Linked DNA regions of Saccharomyces cerevisiae S288C. Changing the gene in region 1 together with any one later gene gives a genetic interaction. Each region holds a gene or a part of one and is shown in the gene's direction. Other genes may lie near its edges.

What was found. A genetic interaction does not mean that the proteins touch.
Region 2: mutations in SPS2 (region 1) and DPH1 together harm fitness more than expected from each alone (negative genetic interaction), as found in Saccharomyces cerevisiae (2 studies listed by BioGRID).
Region 3: mutations in SPS2 (region 1) and RSF1 together harm fitness more than expected from each alone (negative genetic interaction), as found in Saccharomyces cerevisiae (2 studies listed by BioGRID).

What each region holds. Positions count from the first base shown.
Region 1 is NC_001136.10:1,480,538-1,488,850, reverse strand, and holds SPS2 (Sps2p), read left to right. Parts: upstream 1-3,547; coding exon 3,548-5,056; downstream 5,057-8,313. Other genes in the region: GTPase-activating protein AGE1, read left to right, coding at 1-1,309; putative serine/threonine protein kinase SPS1, read left to right, coding at 1,813-3,285; URC2 (Urc2p), read left to right, coding at 5,448-7,766; peptidylprolyl isomerase family protein FPR2, read right to left, coding at 8,019-8,313. UniProt on the Saccharomyces cerevisiae protein: Involved in middle stages of meiosis. Redundant with SPS22 for the organization of the beta-glucan layer of the spore wall.
Region 2 is NC_001141.2:170,178-175,912, forward strand, and holds DPH1 (2-(3-amino-3-carboxypropyl)histidine synthase), read left to right. Parts: upstream 1-1,573; coding exon 1,574-2,851; downstream 2,852-5,735. Other genes in the region: Hsp90 cochaperone SHQ1, read right to left, coding at 1-1,328; YIL102C-A (uncharacterized protein), read right to left, coding at 3,188-3,415; YIL102C (uncharacterized protein), read right to left, coding at 4,405-4,710; XBP1 (Xbp1p), read right to left, coding at 5,130-5,735. UniProt on the Saccharomyces cerevisiae protein: Catalyzes the first step of diphthamide biosynthesis, a post-translational modification of histidine which occurs in elongation factor 2.
Region 3 is NC_001145.3:329,170-334,807, forward strand, and holds RSF1 (Rsf1p), read left to right. Parts: upstream 1-1,623; coding exon 1,624-2,754; downstream 2,755-5,638. Other genes in the region: FAR8 (Far8p), read right to left, coding at 1-1,062; EIS1 (Eis1p), read right to left, coding at 3,043-5,574. UniProt on the Saccharomyces cerevisiae protein: Mitochondrial and nuclear transcriptional activator required for respiratory growth.

The sequences.
Region 1 (8,313 bases):
TCTTCGATGTAAATTTCAAACGAACCGCTGCGAGGATGATCGAGGTTTTGAGGTATATTGTGTTATTTTAAAAAGCATCGCTTTATTAATGGCCGCGAAAGAATCATTGATATTACTACAAATACCTCCTTCTTTACCATCAGGATTTCCATTTCGTTCACCCCAACTGTCATTTACATATTTATCAACCCGTCTTAGTGGGAGCCAACACAAATCTACGCATTCTCATCACATCAATCATCAAACTCATCCCATTCATAGTAGCAGTAGCAACAGTAATAGTAATAACCGTATTCCTACAAAAACAGATTCCTCCAAACAGCATACACAGCATTTCTCTTTTGCTAATGCGGGAGCCTCCAATAGAGACGAACTGCTATCAATCGTGCGCAAAATTGATAAATCTAATTTGAAGTGTTGTGACTGCGGTAGCACCGCAACAGTAGAATGGGTGTCAATCAATTTATTGTGTATATTGTGTATCAAATGTTCGGGCGTTCATCGATCTCTGGGTTCACATATCTCCAAAATTAGATCTTTAACGCTGGATAATTTCACCTCGTTAGAGTTGATGCATCTTTTACAAAATAATGTTTCCAATAGTAATGTTAATGCCATTTATGAAAGCAATCTCAGGAACTTTCCAGTTAAAAAAATAACTGCAAATTCTGATGACTCGGAAAGATCCAAATTCATTATTGATAAGTATCAATTTAAAAAGTTTGTTATCGACAGCAACCAAGGCAGAGAGGCTTCTTTGAAGTCTTTAATTAAAGCTATCCATTTAGATAGTGTTTTCATGATGCAAAGAGCCATCGCCCAAAGTAAATATTCCCTAAGAGAATTGACGGCAAGCGAAAAAGAGCAGAATGATCTAAACCATTCTTCCATTTTTCAATATTCCCTAAAGCACTATGAAATTGTTGATGGAACGCCCATTTTTTTTATTACAGAATTTTTATTGTGCAATGGTATTCATATAGATAATTTACCGAAGATTACTACGAATTGGTCTCCAAAGGTTTTAGAATATTGGGAAACTAAGTTGGAGATGTACGGAACATTCCAAGCTGTAAATACTTCTCGTCCAAGATCAGGGCCGCATTTAAATATGCATTCAAATGTAGATTCAGCTTCGTCCTACAATAAGAAACACGATTTGAGAGTTAACATACCTGAAAGAAGTGCCTCAGCAAGTAAAAGGTGGAGTTTGAGCTCCATTCCTAAGTCTTCTCAAAATTTGATGTCCCCAACAAACTTATTAACAATGCATAAGTCTTTAAAATTGGCCAAAAAGGACAAAAAATAACATATATGATAATTTAACTGTATTTTTTTCCCTTTTCTAATACTTTTTCCTCAAGTTATATTTCGGAGCTGTCCCAGGTTCGGAACAATGCGGCATCAGGGATAAAAAAAAATGACACATAAAAACGAAAAAGACACAAATTCCATTTTTTTTTTTTGACGCGAAAGAATGACACTACTTTCTTCTATTGTAACCATTTCTAACATCGATATTTTACTTGTTAGTTCAGATATATACTAAAGAGTCACTTAATATACTGTTTTTGTTTATTATCTTGGTTCCAACTGCTTCATTTAATATTTCCTATCCAAAAAAAGCCAGCTAATTCTCTTCTTTTTTTTTCTTATTTTGCCATTTTCAATATTATCGATTTAGTGAACACCTGGCTAGTCAGTTGTCTTAGCAAACATTTCTCAAAAGAAAGCAAACCAGCATTTGCTTTTTAAATTTAGTTTTTTTACTAGCTAATTCATTTACTAAACAACAAAAGAAAATAGCACAAAATGGAAAGCAAAGAAATATCAATTAGGTCAAGAACCCCTCCATCGAAGCTATATTCCATCCAATCATGTATTGGCAGAGGTAACTTTGGTGATGTGTATAAAGCAGTGGATAGAGTTACGCAAGAAATTGTGGCAATTAAGGTGGTCAACCTGGAGCATTCCGACGAAGACATTGAACTGTTAGCACAGGAAATTTTTTTTCTGGCGGAATTGAAATCTCCTCTTATTACAAACTATATTGCAACAATGTTAGAAGATGTCTCTATGTGGATTGTCATGGAATATTGCGGCGGTGGATCATGTTCAGATTTACTGAAGCGAAGTTACGTCAACGGTTTGCCTGAAGAAAAAGTTTCCTTCATTATTCATGAAGTCACCTTGGGTTTGAAATACCTGCATGAGCAAAGGAAAATTCATCGTGATATCAAAGCAGCTAATATTTTACTAAATGAAGAAGGTATGGTTAAGTTGGGTGATTTCGGAGTAAGTGGCCACATTCGTTCCACTTTGAAAAGGGACACTTTTGTAGGAACGCCGTATTGGATGGCTCCGGAAGTTGTTTGCTGCGAAGTTGATGGGTATAATGAGAAAGCAGATATATGGTCCTTGGGTATCACCACCTATGAGTTACTCAAGGGCTTACCCCCATTATCTAAATATGATCCTATGAAAGTTATGACTAACTTACCAAAAAGGAAGCCTCCAAAATTACAAGGTCCCTTTTCGGATGCAGCAAAGGATTTCGTAGCTGGTTGTCTTGTTAAAACACCTGCTGATCGGCCATCGGCATATAACTTGTTATCATTTGAATTTGTTAAGAATATCACCATAACGAACTTGAAAAGTGATGTTGATCTAATTAAACAGAAAAAGGTTCAGGAGAGATATACAAAAGTTCCCAAATACCCTCTTCAAAATCGCTTGTATAAAAACAGCAACACAGTGAGGGGAAAGGAATTTTGGAATTTTGAATCGACAAGACTAAGCACAACACAAATTTCCAAAGAGGAATTATCTCCCATTACACAAGACTCTCCAACATCATCTTTAAATATGGAAAGTCCTTATTTACTTCATGGGCAAACTGTAACGCCGATAACCAACCCAAGTTCTTCATCATTTAGAAAATGTACGCAACCAGTTTTCGAGCTTGATTCAGGAATGGATATAGATTCAGGCTGCCCAAATGCTCAAGCAGAGACCGAAATAGTTCCTCTCTCTAATCATAATAAGAAGCATAAAAAGAACGATATTCAGGCGTTGAAGATAGAAAAGTTTGACTACTTGAAAAACATTGTATCTCATATTCTCAACAGAATGTATGATCGTGCGCGCGACGATGAAACAAGAAAATACGTAAATGAAATGTTAAAGCAATTCATTAAAACTGAGGCAAACGTTCCTGGATTTAATGAGGTTTTTATAGAAGAGATCTCACTAAGAATTGAAGCAATAAAGAAAGGATTCGTTTAAAAAAATAGATATATATATATAATGTGTGTATATGCATGAGTTTTTGTTTTCCATTCTCTTTCATCTTCAATAAATGAAGGATGGATATATTGAATTATATAACAAACAGTAAAAAGTCATGTGTTTTTGATTATTTACCTGCTTATTTCTCCCTTTTTTTTTCGATTCTTTTTTTCTGATCGAGCGTTTATGTCTTTACTGTCCCGTCATTGATGCGTCTCAAAAAAAATATTTTGTGGCATTACTTAGACTATAAAAGAAAATGCCAATTTGGAAAACACAAACATTCTTCACTAGTATTTCTGTTATTCAAATAGTCAATAAAGAAACCAAAGTTTCTACAAAAAAAGAAAAGGATAGCATGTTGAACCAGTTGAACACAATCTTAAGATTTTTATTCTTGTTTCTGCAGTTAATTAAATCATCCGCTGCAGTTGAACCTAATGGTGGACCGAATATTCTAGATCACAACATTATGTTGGTTAACACTAATGCAACGATCCCTAAAAAGGAACAAACTGATTTTGAGGTGATTTCTCCAACAAAACAAACACAAGTAGATGAAGACTGTAAAAAAGGCTTGTATCATATTGAGAATGCTGGAAATTTGATTGAACTGCAAGCTAAATGTTGGAAAGTGGTAGGAAACATTGAAATATCAAGTAACTACAGCGGATCTCTTATTGATCTAGGGTTAATAAGAGAGATAGAGGGAGATCTTATTATCAAGAATAACAAACACATTTTTAGAATCCAGGGTTATAATTTAGAGTCTTTGGGAAAGTTGGAATTGGATAGCCTAACTTCCTTTGTATCATTAGACTTTCCCGCTTTAAAAGAAGTTGAAACCGTTGATTGGAGAGTTTTGCCTATTCTAAGTAGTGTTGTCATTAACGGAAATATTAAAAAGATCAAAAATATTATCATATCTGATACTGCATTAACCTCCATCGATTACTTCAATAACGTCAAGAAAGTGGATATTTTCAATATCAACAATAACAGGTTTTTAGAAAATTTATTCGCAAGTTTAGAAAGTGTTACTAAACAACTAACCGTCCACTCTAATGCCAAAGAGCTGGAACTTGATTTGAGCAACTTACACACGGTTGAAAATATGACCATTAAGGACGTTTCAGAAATTAAACTAGCTAAACTTTCCTCTGTGAACAGTTCTCTAGAGTTCATCGAGAATCAATTTTCAAGCTTGGAACTACCACTTTTGGCAAAAGTTCAAGGAACGTTGGGGTTAATAGATAATAAAAATCTGAAAAAGCTAAACTTTTCGAATGCCACCGATATTCAAGGGGGTCTAATGATTGCTAACAATACAGAGCTTGCCAAAATTGATTTCTTCCCCAAGTTGAGGCAAATTGGCGGTGCAATATATTTTGAAGGTAGCTTTGATAAAATTGACCTCCCAGAGCTAAAGTTAGTAAAAGGTAGCGCTTATATCAAAAGTTCATCTGAGGAATTAAACTGTGAAGAATTTACATCACCAAAAGCCGGTCGTTCGATCATAAGAGGCGGTAAAATCGAATGCACATCTGGTATGAAAAGTAAAATGCTGAATGTTGATGAAGAGGGGAATGTACTAGGAAAGCAGGAAACTGACAATGATAATGGAAAGAAAGAAAAAGGAAAAAATGGTGCAAAAAGTCAAGGAAGTTCAAAGAAGATGGAAAACAGTGCTCCGAAGAACATTTTTATTGATGCTTTCAAAATGTCAGTTTATGCAGTTTTCACGGTATTGTTCTCGATAATTTTTTAGGTTAGAAGATTAACTTAAATACTAGCCATTTTATTTAGTTCTTATGAGATATAAATTTGCAGTAGAGATGTAGTGTTCTGATTATCTTCACCTGGAGCATAGCGTAGCCCACTTAGCATCAGCTTTTTATGTTATTTCAGGCATTACCAAAACTGGTTAAACTATTGAAACTGTTACCCTCCTTTTAATTTTGACAGTTTTTGAATAATTATTATGGTAGATCATCTTAACAAAATGAGCTCATTAGGTAGATGATTTAATTGAAAAATAGTGTTTTGATACGGTTCTTCCTTAGGGTTAAAACCACTCACATTTTGCTTACTCACCATTAAAACATCTTTCCCAGTTGTATTTTATATTTCTTTCGGTTTGCTGAACATCAGGGAAAAAAATGGATATAAACTCAAATGCCTCAGTAAGCCCCAGACCAGATGGTTTACCGATGACTGCTGGATATAATTCTGCTTCTGGAAAGGTGCGAAATAGTATCAGATCCATAATAAACCACCCAGAGGATAGTGCAAGAGCCAAAGAGCGCAGTGAAACGAACAGTCCTAAGAATAATGGCAACAAAAAACCTAGAAAGAAAAGAAAAACATTTAGTTGTGATACTTGCAGGAGAGTGAAGACAAGGTGCGATTTTGAACCTTTCATTGGAAAATGTTACAGATGTAACGTTCTGCAGCTTGATTGCTCCTTAGCCAGGAATAAAGACAATGAAATTTTGAATACTTTACGTGAGGATGGTCTACTAAAGAAGATCAACTCAATTAATCACAACCTTGGTTCTTTCTCTCATTTGAATGCGGACTCTCCCAACGAAAGCCAAAGTAGTTTTGAAAAGAATGGAACGGTCAATTTTGATAATTACATGATCGATAAAAGGCTTTCATCTTTAGAAGAGCACATAAAATCTTTACACCAGAAAATGGACTTGATAATCACCACAGCAAAGATGTCTTATAACAGCGATATCAAAGGCCCTGGAGATGATATTCAGAACGTGGATTTCAGCTCAAATAAGACGTACGATAGTCGTCTAACTTCGGGCTCAGAGACGATAAGGAAAACAGGGGAATATAGAAAAGAAAATCTTTTCTTAAATGGATTTAAGTTGAAGGAATCTCCTTTAAAATTGCTACATGATATTGATGAGAGGCTATTTCCATCGAAGGCTACATCTAAAGCTGCGAAGCTAGCTGGACAGCAAAGGCCATATGCTGTTGCAAGAGTGAACTTTCTCCATTTTTATGAGAATAATCAGGAATTATGCCATAAGCTTGCAAAAGAATTTCTGGTGAGATCCCATTTCTGGATAATTCCAGGTGGGAGAAAAGAGATAGACGTGGAATATGCCCACTCACACCTATTTATTACAAGTGTTTTTACTATTATCGCTATGAGTTTTGCTGACAACGATAAATACGCTGCAGAACAAGAAATATTGTATCCTTTAGTGGAGAGATTACTCACTAATACGTTAACCATGTTTGAAAAGTTAACAGCGTTTGATATTGAGGCTATTTTATATTGCTGTATGTTCCATATTTCGCGAAAGGCAAAGAGATATAGGCAACTGAAGTTTAATTCTCTGGTACTAAGCAATTTTGCGCTCAATAGCTTGTTACATGTAATAGATTTTTATCAGATAAAGGATAGGGTTTTGGTAAAAGAAGTGTATAATCCCGAAGATCTTTATCATCTAAGAATACTAAATTCACTAACTGCCTGCTATTTAGAATATTCCATTAGTTACGGCGATATTAGGGAACAGGATGATATGCTTAAAGAGTTTAATAAACTTGTGGCGAAATTTCCTCAGGCGAATTTTGGTGATGACATTAAAATCAGTGAGATAAATTTAGGTGACATCGTAAATGGCATCTTTATAAACCTTAAAAATTATTTTGCGCAGTGTTTGGATGACTTTAACAATGACAGATATGGAGGTAACGCAGATACTTTTATCTTTGTTTTTCCAGAGCTAAATTATTGGCTGAAAAATTGGGAAGAGCTTTTAGCAAAGGATGGCGCGGGCGTGCTATTGTTCACATTTGATTTTTATCATATCATGATATGTCGCACTTTTATCACAGAATTTTCTTCCACGCTAAAAAGCAACCAAAGGTTTTTGAAACTAATTCTTAATACGATGAAAGAACATTCATTTTCGCTGTTGAATGGGTTTTTGAGACTACCGCCAACGTTAATAAGGGGTGCTCCGATTTTTACTTGTCATCAACTAGTCTACGCCTGTTTAACTCTTTGTGACTATCTTTATTGGTTCGATTCTTCTGAACGTCAACGCGTTTTGAGTCTTTGTACAAAAGTGTACTGGCATTTGAGCACTATAGGGGAAAAAATGAATGAGGCTACTGATAACGTTGGAAAAATCATAAAATCTATAATTGATACTAGTAAGACTCGTATTAATTTTGGCAGTTTGTCAAAAGAGAATAGTGATAATGATAAAATGTCGACTAATGCTAATAACTACACAGGAGCAGGAAATCTGCACGCCGCGAAACCCGCTACTTCGCCTACTAATGTTGGTACTTTGCACGAGAACTTGTCCAGTAGTCACTTCATGATTCCTGACGTCGACCAATTCAATTCCTTTGAAGACTTTTTTCAGGATTTTTTTGATAGTTTAAAACCAAATTCCCAAAAAATGTTTACCAGCGATAAGAAGACTGAACAAACTACTTAAACTATTTTTATTAAGAGGGAAAAAATTCATACCCAAACTAGATTGAATAACATTTCTTTATATTAATATATTGTAGTTAGAGCCCTTTTATTTTATTTTGCTGCAAACATAATATACACAACCATAATTACATTGAAACTTGACATGATGGCTGGCATCCTCATATGGATATATTTTCAACTATAAAAAAAAGTTTGCCACATACGTACTCCATGCATCTTGTTGCAGATATGTGCCTGAGTGCCAATTTACCTAGGCGGCTGATTTCACGTCTACCAATTCGACATCAAACACCAAATCAGCACTTGGAGGAATGACGCCTGGGACACCTCTTTCTCCGTAGGCCAAAGAACTTGGAATTTGCAGCTTTCTTTTTTCGCCAACGCACATGCCGGCAACACCTTGATCCCAACCTTTAATTACTCTGCCAACGCCAAGTTCAAAAGCGATAGGAGAGCCTCTTGAATAACTTGAGTCAAATACAGTTCCCGATTCTAATAAAGATCCTGTATAATGAACCTTAACTTTATCACCTGGCATTGCCTTA
Region 2 (5,735 bases), on another chromosome or scaffold:
CTACCCTGAGAAATGAACCACGCAGTCAGATCATCCAAGAGAACTTTGTCGTAGACGTAGTAAACATCATGGAAACGAAATGTTTCATGAATGTCCAAAAGCGCCCTTATGACTAGTCTCTTACCACCTCGTAGAATATAATATACGAATGTCCACGCTTTCATTGCTAGGTCATAGTTTCTATGTAGTGGATAACTCAGGGCTCTCCTGATACCTGTAATGATTGCAATCTTGATGAGAGAGCTGTCTTTATTAACCTTTGATATTTCTTTCATACCGTCTTGCAGTTCGTTCACCTGTTTTAATTGTTGGTCTAAGAATGATATTTGAGGGCACAATTTTCCCATGGTCCAAGCACTCTCTGTGGTATGAGTACCTTCGTTTTCGATCTGTTCAAACACATAACTGAAAAGAACGCTGAGTATAGTGACATAAAGTGGTTTTATATCTTCCACGAGATAAGACTTCTTGGGTAAATTGTCCTGCATCTGTTTTTGTTCCTCGTCAGTAAACTCAATTGGCATGACCAGATTTGGGTTCGTACTGTCTTTGTACCATTGCAGGTATTGCTTTACGATCGAAGGTGTAAACTTCAGTAGTTCTTTAATGCCGTTAATTTCCAAGTCTTCCTCGTTACCGTATTTATGTGTCATATACTCGGAAACATAGTACTCAGGATCAAACTTCAAATTTTCTTTTCTTAACCTTTCAATAACTCTATCGTTCGCGTCAGTGTGTTCAGGATCGTCTAATTCATTGATATCGTTCCCGTTGCTTGTCGACACTGATATAACTGTATCATATAAGTTATCAAACCCATATTTTGTCTTCAATATTCCATTATTGGTGCTGGAATCCATCTTTTGCTCTATCTCCCAATTAAACCCCTCTCCCATTTGACCAATAGTCTTCACATCATCTTTAATATTATTCGACACGCCATCAGTTTCGACCTCTTGAATAAGGGGCTTTTGGGTTTTTTTCGCATCAGTATTTTCTGTTAATGCATCGGCACCTGCAAGATCGCCTTGCCTAGCCAACAACTTTGTCGGTAGGTCCAAATCTTCGAAATATTCATTTTTATTCAGTTTGGCTACTTTTACATTGATGCATTCATCTTTGGAATCGTATTGAGCGGTAGACCTCTCATCATCGATTAATTCGTGAGGAAATCTTAATCTTAAATAGTAAGGGGATAAGTGAAAAATGATCATATTTTCTTGGATGATTATCTCTAAACCCACTGCACTGAACCTAATATTACTTATGAATATTTTGAGAAATATAAATTCCTCATCCTGTGTTATAGAGAATCTTGGTGTTATCATTATAGTTCAGAAGTGATGGTAGATTATAGCAAGTATTCTTCTTTTGTGAATCTTAATATTACTCTGAGCACTTGACACTGAATATTTAGTATTCAAAATTTTTCAGCTGATTTTTGCGATGCGATGGTGATGAAAAAAAAAACATGTAGTAGTAATAACAATCAAATAAAATAAGTGAAATCTCATGAACTATCTGCTGCGAATTTTAAGGATAATCGGATAGCTTGAAGCATTTCTTTTTCGTAATGAGTGGCTCTACAGAATCTAAAAAACAACCAAGAAGAAGATTTATTGGGAGAAAATCTGGCAACAGTAATAATGACAAATTAACTACAGTGGCTGAAAATGGCAACGAAATAATCCACAAGCAAAAGAGTAGAATCGCCCTAGGTAGGAGTGTTAATCATGTGCCAGAAGATATATTGAATGACAAAGAGTTGAATGAAGCCATCAAATTATTGCCCTCTAACTACAACTTTGAAATCCACAAAACTGTGTGGAATATCAGGAAATATAATGCTAAAAGAATAGCCCTACAGATGCCTGAAGGTTTGCTGATTTACTCATTGATTATAAGTGACATTTTGGAACAGTTCTGTGGTGTTGAAACTCTAGTAATGGGGGATGTGTCTTATGGTGCATGCTGTATTGATGATTTTACTGCTAGGGCATTGGATTGCGATTTTATTGTGCATTACGCTCATTCGTGTTTAGTTCCTATTGACGTTACAAAGATTAAAGTACTATATGTCTTTGTTACTATAAATATTCAAGAAGATCATATTATCAAAACGCTGCAGAAGAATTTTCCTAAGGGATCTAGAATCGCTACATTTGGTACCATTCAGTTTAATCCTGCGGTACACAGCGTCAGAGATAAACTGCTTAACGATGAAGAACACATGCTGTATATTATTCCACCACAAATCAAGCCTCTATCGAGGGGTGAAGTATTGGGGTGTACTTCTGAAAGATTAGATAAAGAACAATACGATGCCATGGTATTCATCGGTGATGGTAGATTTCATTTGGAGTCTGCAATGATACATAATCCGGAAATTCCTGCATTCAAGTATGACCCATACAACAGAAAGTTCACTAGAGAAGGATACGATCAAAAGCAACTCGTGGAAGTTAGAGCAGAGGCCATTGAAGTCGCTCGGAAGGGTAAAGTTTTTGGTCTGATCTTAGGTGCATTAGGTAGACAAGGTAATTTAAACACTGTAAAAAACTTGGAAAAAAACCTGATCGCAGCAGGTAAAACCGTGGTGAAAATTATTCTAAGTGAAGTTTTTCCCCAAAAGCTCGCAATGTTCGATCAAATTGATGTTTTTGTTCAGGTCGCATGTCCTAGACTGTCCATCGATTGGGGTTATGCCTTCAATAAACCACTATTAACACCATATGAGGCTAGTGTCTTACTAAAGAAAGATGTCATGTTCAGCGAAAAATATTATCCAATGGATTATTACGAAGCTAAAGGATACGGGCGTGGGGAAACTCCGAAACATGCGATTGAATAGTTTAAATAGTTTTTGTTGTCACTTGTCTTCCTGTTACATATGTATAAATAGTTAGTATCATATTCTTCGGAGCATCTTTTCTATTGTTTAAACGTTTTTGACGGCTTGCAGGCGAAACTAAATTGTCTAAAATTCAAAACAATGCCTTCTAACTTGATATCACTGCTGGTCAAGCCTATTTTTATTCTGGTTTCTCAGGCAAACCCAAATGATATTGTCAAATTTTTCACTGAGTTTGCCAAGCATATTTCCATGGACTTTTGTATGGAAACCGTGATGAGAAATCCGGGATTTCTCATCGAGGAAAGAAGTGACTCGAGCCTCTTAAGGCTTAGATTAAACTTTTTTCTTTTTATCGCTGCGTATAAGCAATACACCTAAAACAGAACCAGTTAAAGTAAACCCGATCAACAGTAAGAAGATGGGCAGGAAAATTGCAACATTGCTAGAAATGGGGAAGAGTAAACTCACAACTGGATTGGAGTTCTCGATCTCGAAGATAGGCAGGAGCGACCATATGACATAATAAGTAAAAAGAAGGCAAATAATTACAAAACGGTTCATGAAACTAAACAGACGTTTACTATGCCCAACCGGTGACTATTCACATTTTTGAGCTAGTATTGCATTTAGAGTACACGCAGTCATCAACAGTTTCTTTGTATCTCTTTCAAATATATTCCTTTACACGGGAATGCTAGCGGAAATGAATGTAAGGCGGAAAAGCTCTCCGTGCGAAACTATTCTTTTAGACACTGAATAAAGTTGTAGCCTCATTCCATAATCTGGGTCAGATTTTATGAAAATGTAGTTATTTCTGTTAGTTGCTGGGTTCTACGATATTCTGCTGCGTGGTTTAGCTTTCATACTTGATTTTTACTCCTTCATCACTCCATATAGGTTGGATATGGCTGAATCTGTTTTTATCGAGGCACCCTTATGAACATAAACAACAGTATCCCGTCTAAGAAATACTTTCGCTACAATGACTTCGAAAATTAGGAGTTGACTGTGGCTTCAGGTCATCACATTGAGTTCAGTATATTCCATCCAAACGTCGAGGCAGGTTGCCGTTGAAGATGTGCTGGCCCGCTTACAGGCCCATGTTTAACAGCAATTGCACCACATGCATGTCACATATGCATGTCACATATTAGCCCTAATTGTCTAGTGGAATTTTCGCAGTAAGAATCAAATGTGTTTAAAAGTCATAGCATTGATGAACAGCTTACTCGTATCTCTCTATTTGATTTGGACAATAGCTTGAGCAAACGTTGGCAAAACAGCTGCTCTGAATAATGGTCAGCAATTAAATTTGCTTTTTTTGCGTACGGCTGTTCAGATATACTATTGTTGGAATAATAATCAATCGTCTATTGACTAATGTTTTCATACGTATTATTACTGCCTTCATGAAATAAGTAACCCTAAATTTTTATCACAACATTCTAATGTTCTTCATTTTCTGTAAAGAAAGAGCAGGACTGTGGCAGAATAGTACCATTTTCATCAGCAAATGTGAGGCTATGCCATTATTTGCGAATGCTATGAACCTACTGCGTTGCATTCTCCAAGGTTCCCGCTGGGTGGGTCGCCACTAACTCTTCCGTGTGGCCGTCTATTGCTGATGCATTCAAACCATAGTCACCTGCGATAGGGTTAGTTGTGTAAGAGGTAAAACAGTGACCAGGTGTTAATTCTTCCCAGTTCATCAACAAGCTTGCTGAACCATTGCTCATTATAGTTGTTATACTGCAGGAATATTTCATCTCGATATCTACTTCTTCCAGAAAAGAATTTTTTAAACAATAATAGACCTCGAATCGCTTCAATTTTTTGAACTTTTCCACCTTTAGCATCTAACTTGGTTCTTTAATTACGATAATTCAGGATATGCGCAAGCCACCTACAGATTATAGAAGCAGTCGAGTACGAATCACTGTGACCGTCATCCTAGATAAATAGTATAGCTTGATGAAGAGTACTGAACCAACAAGTACGAGCTTCTATGGCCAAGTTGGTAAGGCGCCACACTAGTAATGTGGAGATCATCGGTTCAAATCCGATTGGAAGCAATTTTTTTCTTCGGCACGTCATACACCTTGTAATGAGTGTACTAATTCTCTCTTCAAAAAGATCATTGTATGTTTTATGTTTTGTCTGGAAAAACATATAGTACGGATATTTTTGAAAAACTTTGAAATAATATGTAAATTATGTAAAAAAATTAAAGAACCATTATAAAAGAATATTACCAAAAATGTAACAGATGACATTTTTATTGTTTTGAGTTTGTTTTAAATTTGAAATTGTTCAGTGAATTGTTCGCCCTTGGCGAAAAAGAGGTGTCCATATTGGTATTTGTATTATGAGCTGGTCGTTGGTTTTGTTGCTTATAAACTTCGCTAGCATATTTCAAAAAATGATAGTGATCATCACCATAAGGTTGAGGGAAAGTGGGAGGAGCAGGCGCGATTGGTGAAGAGGGGACGTTGTAGTGTCTTGGAGACTGGTACTGAGAAGGAACTGGGTGAATGTGGTCGTAAGTATAGTTTAGCTGCCGCTGTGGCGACGAGAGCTGGTTTGGTGGGGGTAAAGAGTATCTTTGCTGTGGTATATAGATATTTCCCGGATATGAATACCGGTGACCGTGGGTGTTGTAGAAGGATGCTAGGTTTGACAAAATTTGCACCGTTGGATCTCTTGGCCCTATTGGAGAAGAAGTTTGAGAGGTGTATGTGGACGACTTTTGCCTTTTGCTGTTTTTTTTAATGAAGTTCTTGTCATTTGAGGAAAGGCCCAAGTTTTCTACAAATGAGTCGAATGAGGGCAAGGCGTCCTCAATAACAAGTTTCTGCGCTTTGGAATGGGACATGGAAGTAGA
Region 3 (5,638 bases), on another chromosome or scaffold:
TATACAATCCAGAATGTTTGTGGAATCATTACTATCATCGTCATCATTATCATGTGTTATTTCATATGTTTCTTTTATGTTAATTGGGACATCCTCAGGAGCCTCTATATTGTCCAATTCCCAGATTCTAATTTGAGATTTATTCTTACTAGCTATCAACAACCATTTATTTTTGAAGTCTATATTAATGATATCACTAGACGAAAACGGCTGTTCTGAGTCTTGTAATAGGTCCACATCTGAGATCAAAGATGCGCTAGAAATAGAGAACAATTTCAAATGGAAACTCTTTTCAATAACAAGGAGTTTGGACGTCGAAACCCAGAAAAATTTCATAATGTCGCTATCTTGCCCTAAAGATATTTTCTTTAAGAGTTTGGAATTCAAGTTTGCGTCCACTTGGTGTATTTCTAACGATTTGGTGTCTGCATCATAAAGTGCCATACAGTCCCCGTAGGAGCTGATAATGTCGACTTTCGACAATTCCGAGTGTATCTTGGATATTGTTTCATTATTTTCACGCTTGTTGGCTGTGCTAAACAAAGATTTCACTTTGGTTGGTGATGGTGACTCTGAAGGACCTTGCTTTGGATTGGGTTTGGTGTCCAAGAGGGCATTATTTAAAATATCCATCCCATTTGTCTTCGCACTGCCCTCTTCCTTGGGAGTATTCACGTTCAGTTTCTCTAAATCGTGCAATTCAGAACCCGCTTCTCTGCTATTTAATGACTCTAACTGATTGACCGTGTTAGGGCCTTTCAACAAATAAATTATTTCCTTCACATTTTCTTGAACAGCTAGCTTAGACTGCAGTAATGAATCAGGCACATGTTTTTCTTCCTTTTCACCTTCAGGAGAAACAGCTTTCGATTGTATTTGATTCAATTGATGCTTCAAATCTCTATTTTCGCCCTCTAGTTCTGCAATTCTTGCTTTCATTTCCGACCTTTCTAGCTCCCAGGTGATTCTATCTCTTTCATTCTTCGTGAACTCCGTTTGCAAGTAGTGCATTACACCAGGTAACGTGTAATGCGGATGAACATGTGCCTGGTTAATAGCCATATTGTTTTCCGGTCTAACTACACGCACTTACTTCTTTTGGGTTTCTTTATTAATGTTGTTGCTTGCTCCTCACATTTAGTCGTTCTAGGTGGCTTTTATCTAAGATTACGCGACGGGGAAGATCGCAAAGTTAAGACCAATAGAGTACTATACCATATCCCAACAAAGAAGCCTAGGGGATGGTGCAGCAGTAAAAACTGAATAGACTATAATAGATCATCCTACGTAAAACCCGAATAGGTTATCTCTTAAACCTTGTTTTCCTGTAAAGTTGTCCCGCGCATGTGAAGACGCAGAGAGTGGAGATCAATCTTAAAACAACTGAAGCAACTAGCACTTTCTTGACATTTAATAAGGAACTATTATCGCGTAAACCAAAAGAAACGCATGTAAAACATCTGCAAGTTACTCCATCATCTGACACCTAGAGACGTACGTATCAGAACGATTTGAGTGGAGGGGTACAAAAAGGGACTCTGTAGATCAAAAACTGTAATATTATCCTTTTTTTTACTTTCTGAGAAGCTATTCGAAAACAAGGAGATAGAACTACAAGCAGTTATGAAGGACCTAAATCCAGAAATGGGGAAATTTGCTACCACTAAAGGCCCTCCTCAAGACAATAGAGGCATGGTTGATATAGCGACACTGCCTAATTTTCCTGCCAACCGTAGTGGGACTCCTCGTGAGGAGATGTATCTGGCGCCCAACAAGATGGAAACTCCAAGGATACTTAATATGAATATGGTACCGGATTATTTGCAAAAAGAGAACTTCTCGCCAGATTTTTCTTCTGCTACCGTATCTGCCAAGTCATCTCCTGTCAACGTTACTCATGATGAGTCGCTTCCTCTGGGAACTATTGAATCGAATAGCACAAAGGATTCTAAATATGCAGTTCAACGGCAACAGCAACAAGTGGTAGATTTCATAGAGAATAATATGCAGCTACTGTCTTCAGAAACACTAAATTTTAGATCAGACATTATGAAAACTTTGGAGCTTCCCATTCCCAAGAGAAGAGATATTAAGGGAAACCATCTATCTAAACTATTATTTGCTAAATCACCTCTAACTATCAACACATATTGCCAATTTTATGACCGTAGAACCAAGCGAATTTGCAATCAAGAAATGATATGGAAAGATAAGAACAGTAGAGAGAAGCATGGTTCTAGAAAGTATCAAAGACATTTGAGTAAAGTTCACGATGTCCAGCTAACACCAAATAATTTTACCGAATTTTTTGATCATAATTCTCCACTTTTCCAGGAATGCTATGACTATCAATCTAGATTGATGCGTGATTTACTTGTTGAACCAGATGCCAAATTCAAAGAGAAGAAAAAGAAGAAAAAAGGGGACGTCAACGGAAATCATCCTGAAACCGGATCGAGCCTCATCAACCACCAGGTCCAACAGCAAAATGTTCGAGAACTTCAATCGAAAATAGCCATGAACGACTTGATAGAGATTCTTATCGATTTAAACATTCCGTTTTCTGTTTTAGACTACCAACCAATGAGAAATTGGCTCATCAAATATTCAATAATTTCAACAGATACTTTGCCGGATGAAGTATACTTCAAAACTGATCCAGGCGTGAATGAACTGGAACACAACAGTAGTAATTTAAACAATAGCAATAGCGGTACTCCTCATAATCATAATCAAAACCAACATACCAATTAATTAAAACTTGCTTTTAATCTGCATACATAAAACTTAGATCAAATAAATAAAAAAAAAAGTAAAACAACCATATATACTATTTCATAAGCAAAAGTAATCAAATTAAACAAAAAAAAGAAAATACAAATATTAAATTTAAATTAAGGCAATAAACATATATTATACACATAAAAAGAATAATTAAAGCGCAGATGAGAACTATCTTAATTATCAAAATTCTGTAGTATCCCACTCAACTGTTCAATATCTTAGCCGCACCATTTCTTCGTTATCTAGGCTCACTAGCAATTATTTTTTCTCTTGATTACTAATTGCATCCTGATCGTCTTCGATCGAAGAACCCTGTGAAAAGCCACTAAATGTATGTTCCAAACTATCAGGGCTAACTCCCAATGATTTATTGTTTCCTGCTTTCTGTGAAACCGAGATTTCTTTTGAATGCTCCGCTGATTTACAATCATTAGCGTCTTCTTTTCCACTTGATTTATTTCCGATCGAAATTTTTTCTTCAGGTTCCTTTGTTTGAACAGCAGAACTAGTTTCGGTAGCTTCTTTTGCGGCAGTACTCACCGGAACCCCATCACCACCTGAATTTTTCGTTTCGGCTCCCACTATCTCTTCCTTCTTTAGTTCATCACCTTCCTCTATTTTTTCAAGTTGGGTTGGTAAATCTTCAACATTTTTCTCGACGGATTTGTTTTGTGTTAAATACTCCTCAGAAGTCATACCAATCAATTTTTTAACCTTCTCTTCGTCAATCTTATCATCGCCACGTGCAGAAGCAACATCTTTCATAGCTTCCAACAAATTTAGTTTTTCCTTCTTTAACTCGATTTCGGTCGCGTTCAACTCGCTCTTACGTTCGTTAATCAACGAATCCACTTCCAATTGCTTCAGACGGGCCTCCTTGGTTGATAACTCAGCCTGCTCTTTAGCCTTATTAGCAAGAATAATAACGTCATCATTCAAATGGGATTCCAAGCTTTCTTTAGTTTGACCTAGTTCCAGTAATTTGTCATCCTCTCTGATATTTCTATTCTTCTGGGCGTCAAGATCATTTCCGTAACCAGAGATCTTTCTTTTATGGTCAACTATAGCATCCTGCAATCTTGAGATTTCTGCGTTAATTTCATCGCGCTCTTCCACTAAAGTTTTGTGTTCCGCTTCTGCATTTGCCAGATCGTCATGGTAAGGTTTCAATAGTTCTTCTTGCTCTTTGCGCGCTTCAGTGATATCTTGTTCACATTTCTTACCCCATTCCTCCAAATCTTGATCTAGACGAGCTTTTTCGTCCTTTAACTCTTGCTGCATTTGCTTTTTAAATTCGATCTCTTTGCTCTTGGTATCTTCAAGCAGAGTTTCCCTTTCAGCGACTTTGGTATCCATTCTGGCCACAAGTGCATCAAAGCTGGCTTTAATCTTTTCCTGGGAGGTCTTTTTTTCGGTTTGATGCCTATTAGCCGTAGTAGTCAATACTTTGGCGTCATTAGAAATGATAGAACGTTCCATCGTTTCCCATTCATTTGATGATTTATTATAGGCCTCAGTTCTTTCTGCAATTTCTTCATCCATAGCACGTTGCGCCTCCGCCCTCTCACTCACTTCACCAAGTACAGGAGAAATCAATCCGGATGCGATTTTAGTGATATCTTCTGGTGACAAAAACAGGCCACCACCCATGTTAATCTTGTTATGGAATTCTGTCTTTTTCTGATGATTAGACTGTGCGACAGCGACAGCAGCTTTGTTGTATTCCATATTAGTGAATAGCTTTCTATGCATATCGCTTTTTTCAATGATATCCAATTGTCTGTCAACATTGGCTCTTGCCAAAGTCAAAACTTGCTGAGAAGTTAATTGGCTCAGATAGGTTTCCCTCTTCTGCGCCTTAAGAGCTATACTTTTGTCGATATCCTCACCAGGATGCATGTCTTTCACAGCATTAGCAGCTCCTAATGCAAATTTCATCGACTTGGCTTCTTTCTCAGCAGAAACTTTTTTGACCTTTTGTAAATCTTGTGCTTTTGGAGCATCAACTTTCGCCATAATGTTATTCATCATCTCATTGGAGAAACTGAATTGATTTAAATTACCATGCTCATCAGTCTTGACGCCGTATTGGAAGTTCGTCTTTTCCGGTTCCCATCTTTCCTTAATACGAGATTCTGCCTTTTTTTCAGCACCCACTAAGACTTTCTCCAAATTCAAAGTCTTTGGTTTAGGATTAACAGTACTGTTGAAACTGCCACTCGCGCCGCTTAACACAGAGCTGGCAGAGGTGATAGAATATGACCTGCTGTTTGTTTGAGAGCTTAAACTTGTAGTTTCCATTGTCATCGAATAAGCTTTCGATGCGGCGGCCCCTGGAGATTCTTTGGACTTTCTCTTCGTCTGAGATTCTTTTGAAGTTTTAGAAGTAGCAGAAGTTATTGAGTTGTTACGTACAACTTTGGGTCCCATTTTGGATGCAGCTTTAGTGGCATTAGGGTCAATAAACATACGTTTGTAAGCTTCTACCGTGGTTTGATTGTCATGAGCTAAATTAGCTGCCTTGTCGGAAGCTGCATGAGCGTCGCTGACGCCAATTGAGTAACTTTGGGCAGGTGACTGGTAAACCCCGTACTTCAACTTCGCCTTATATAAAGCCTCCCTGCTTAATGGTTCGCCTGTTGTCTGGTATACCTTTGGTTTTCTCAAAGATTTAGAGCCGTGTTTCAGCGACTTTTTCGACGAAGTTATAGACGAAGTCCTGCTCCCTCCACCAGAAGTCTTTCCTATATTATGTATGTCTCTATCTTCTACAGCTGAAATTAAAGACATTGGTTATTTTGCGTTGGTTCCCTATATGCAAAGCTATTTAACAACTAAAGACTGTGTAATCGTC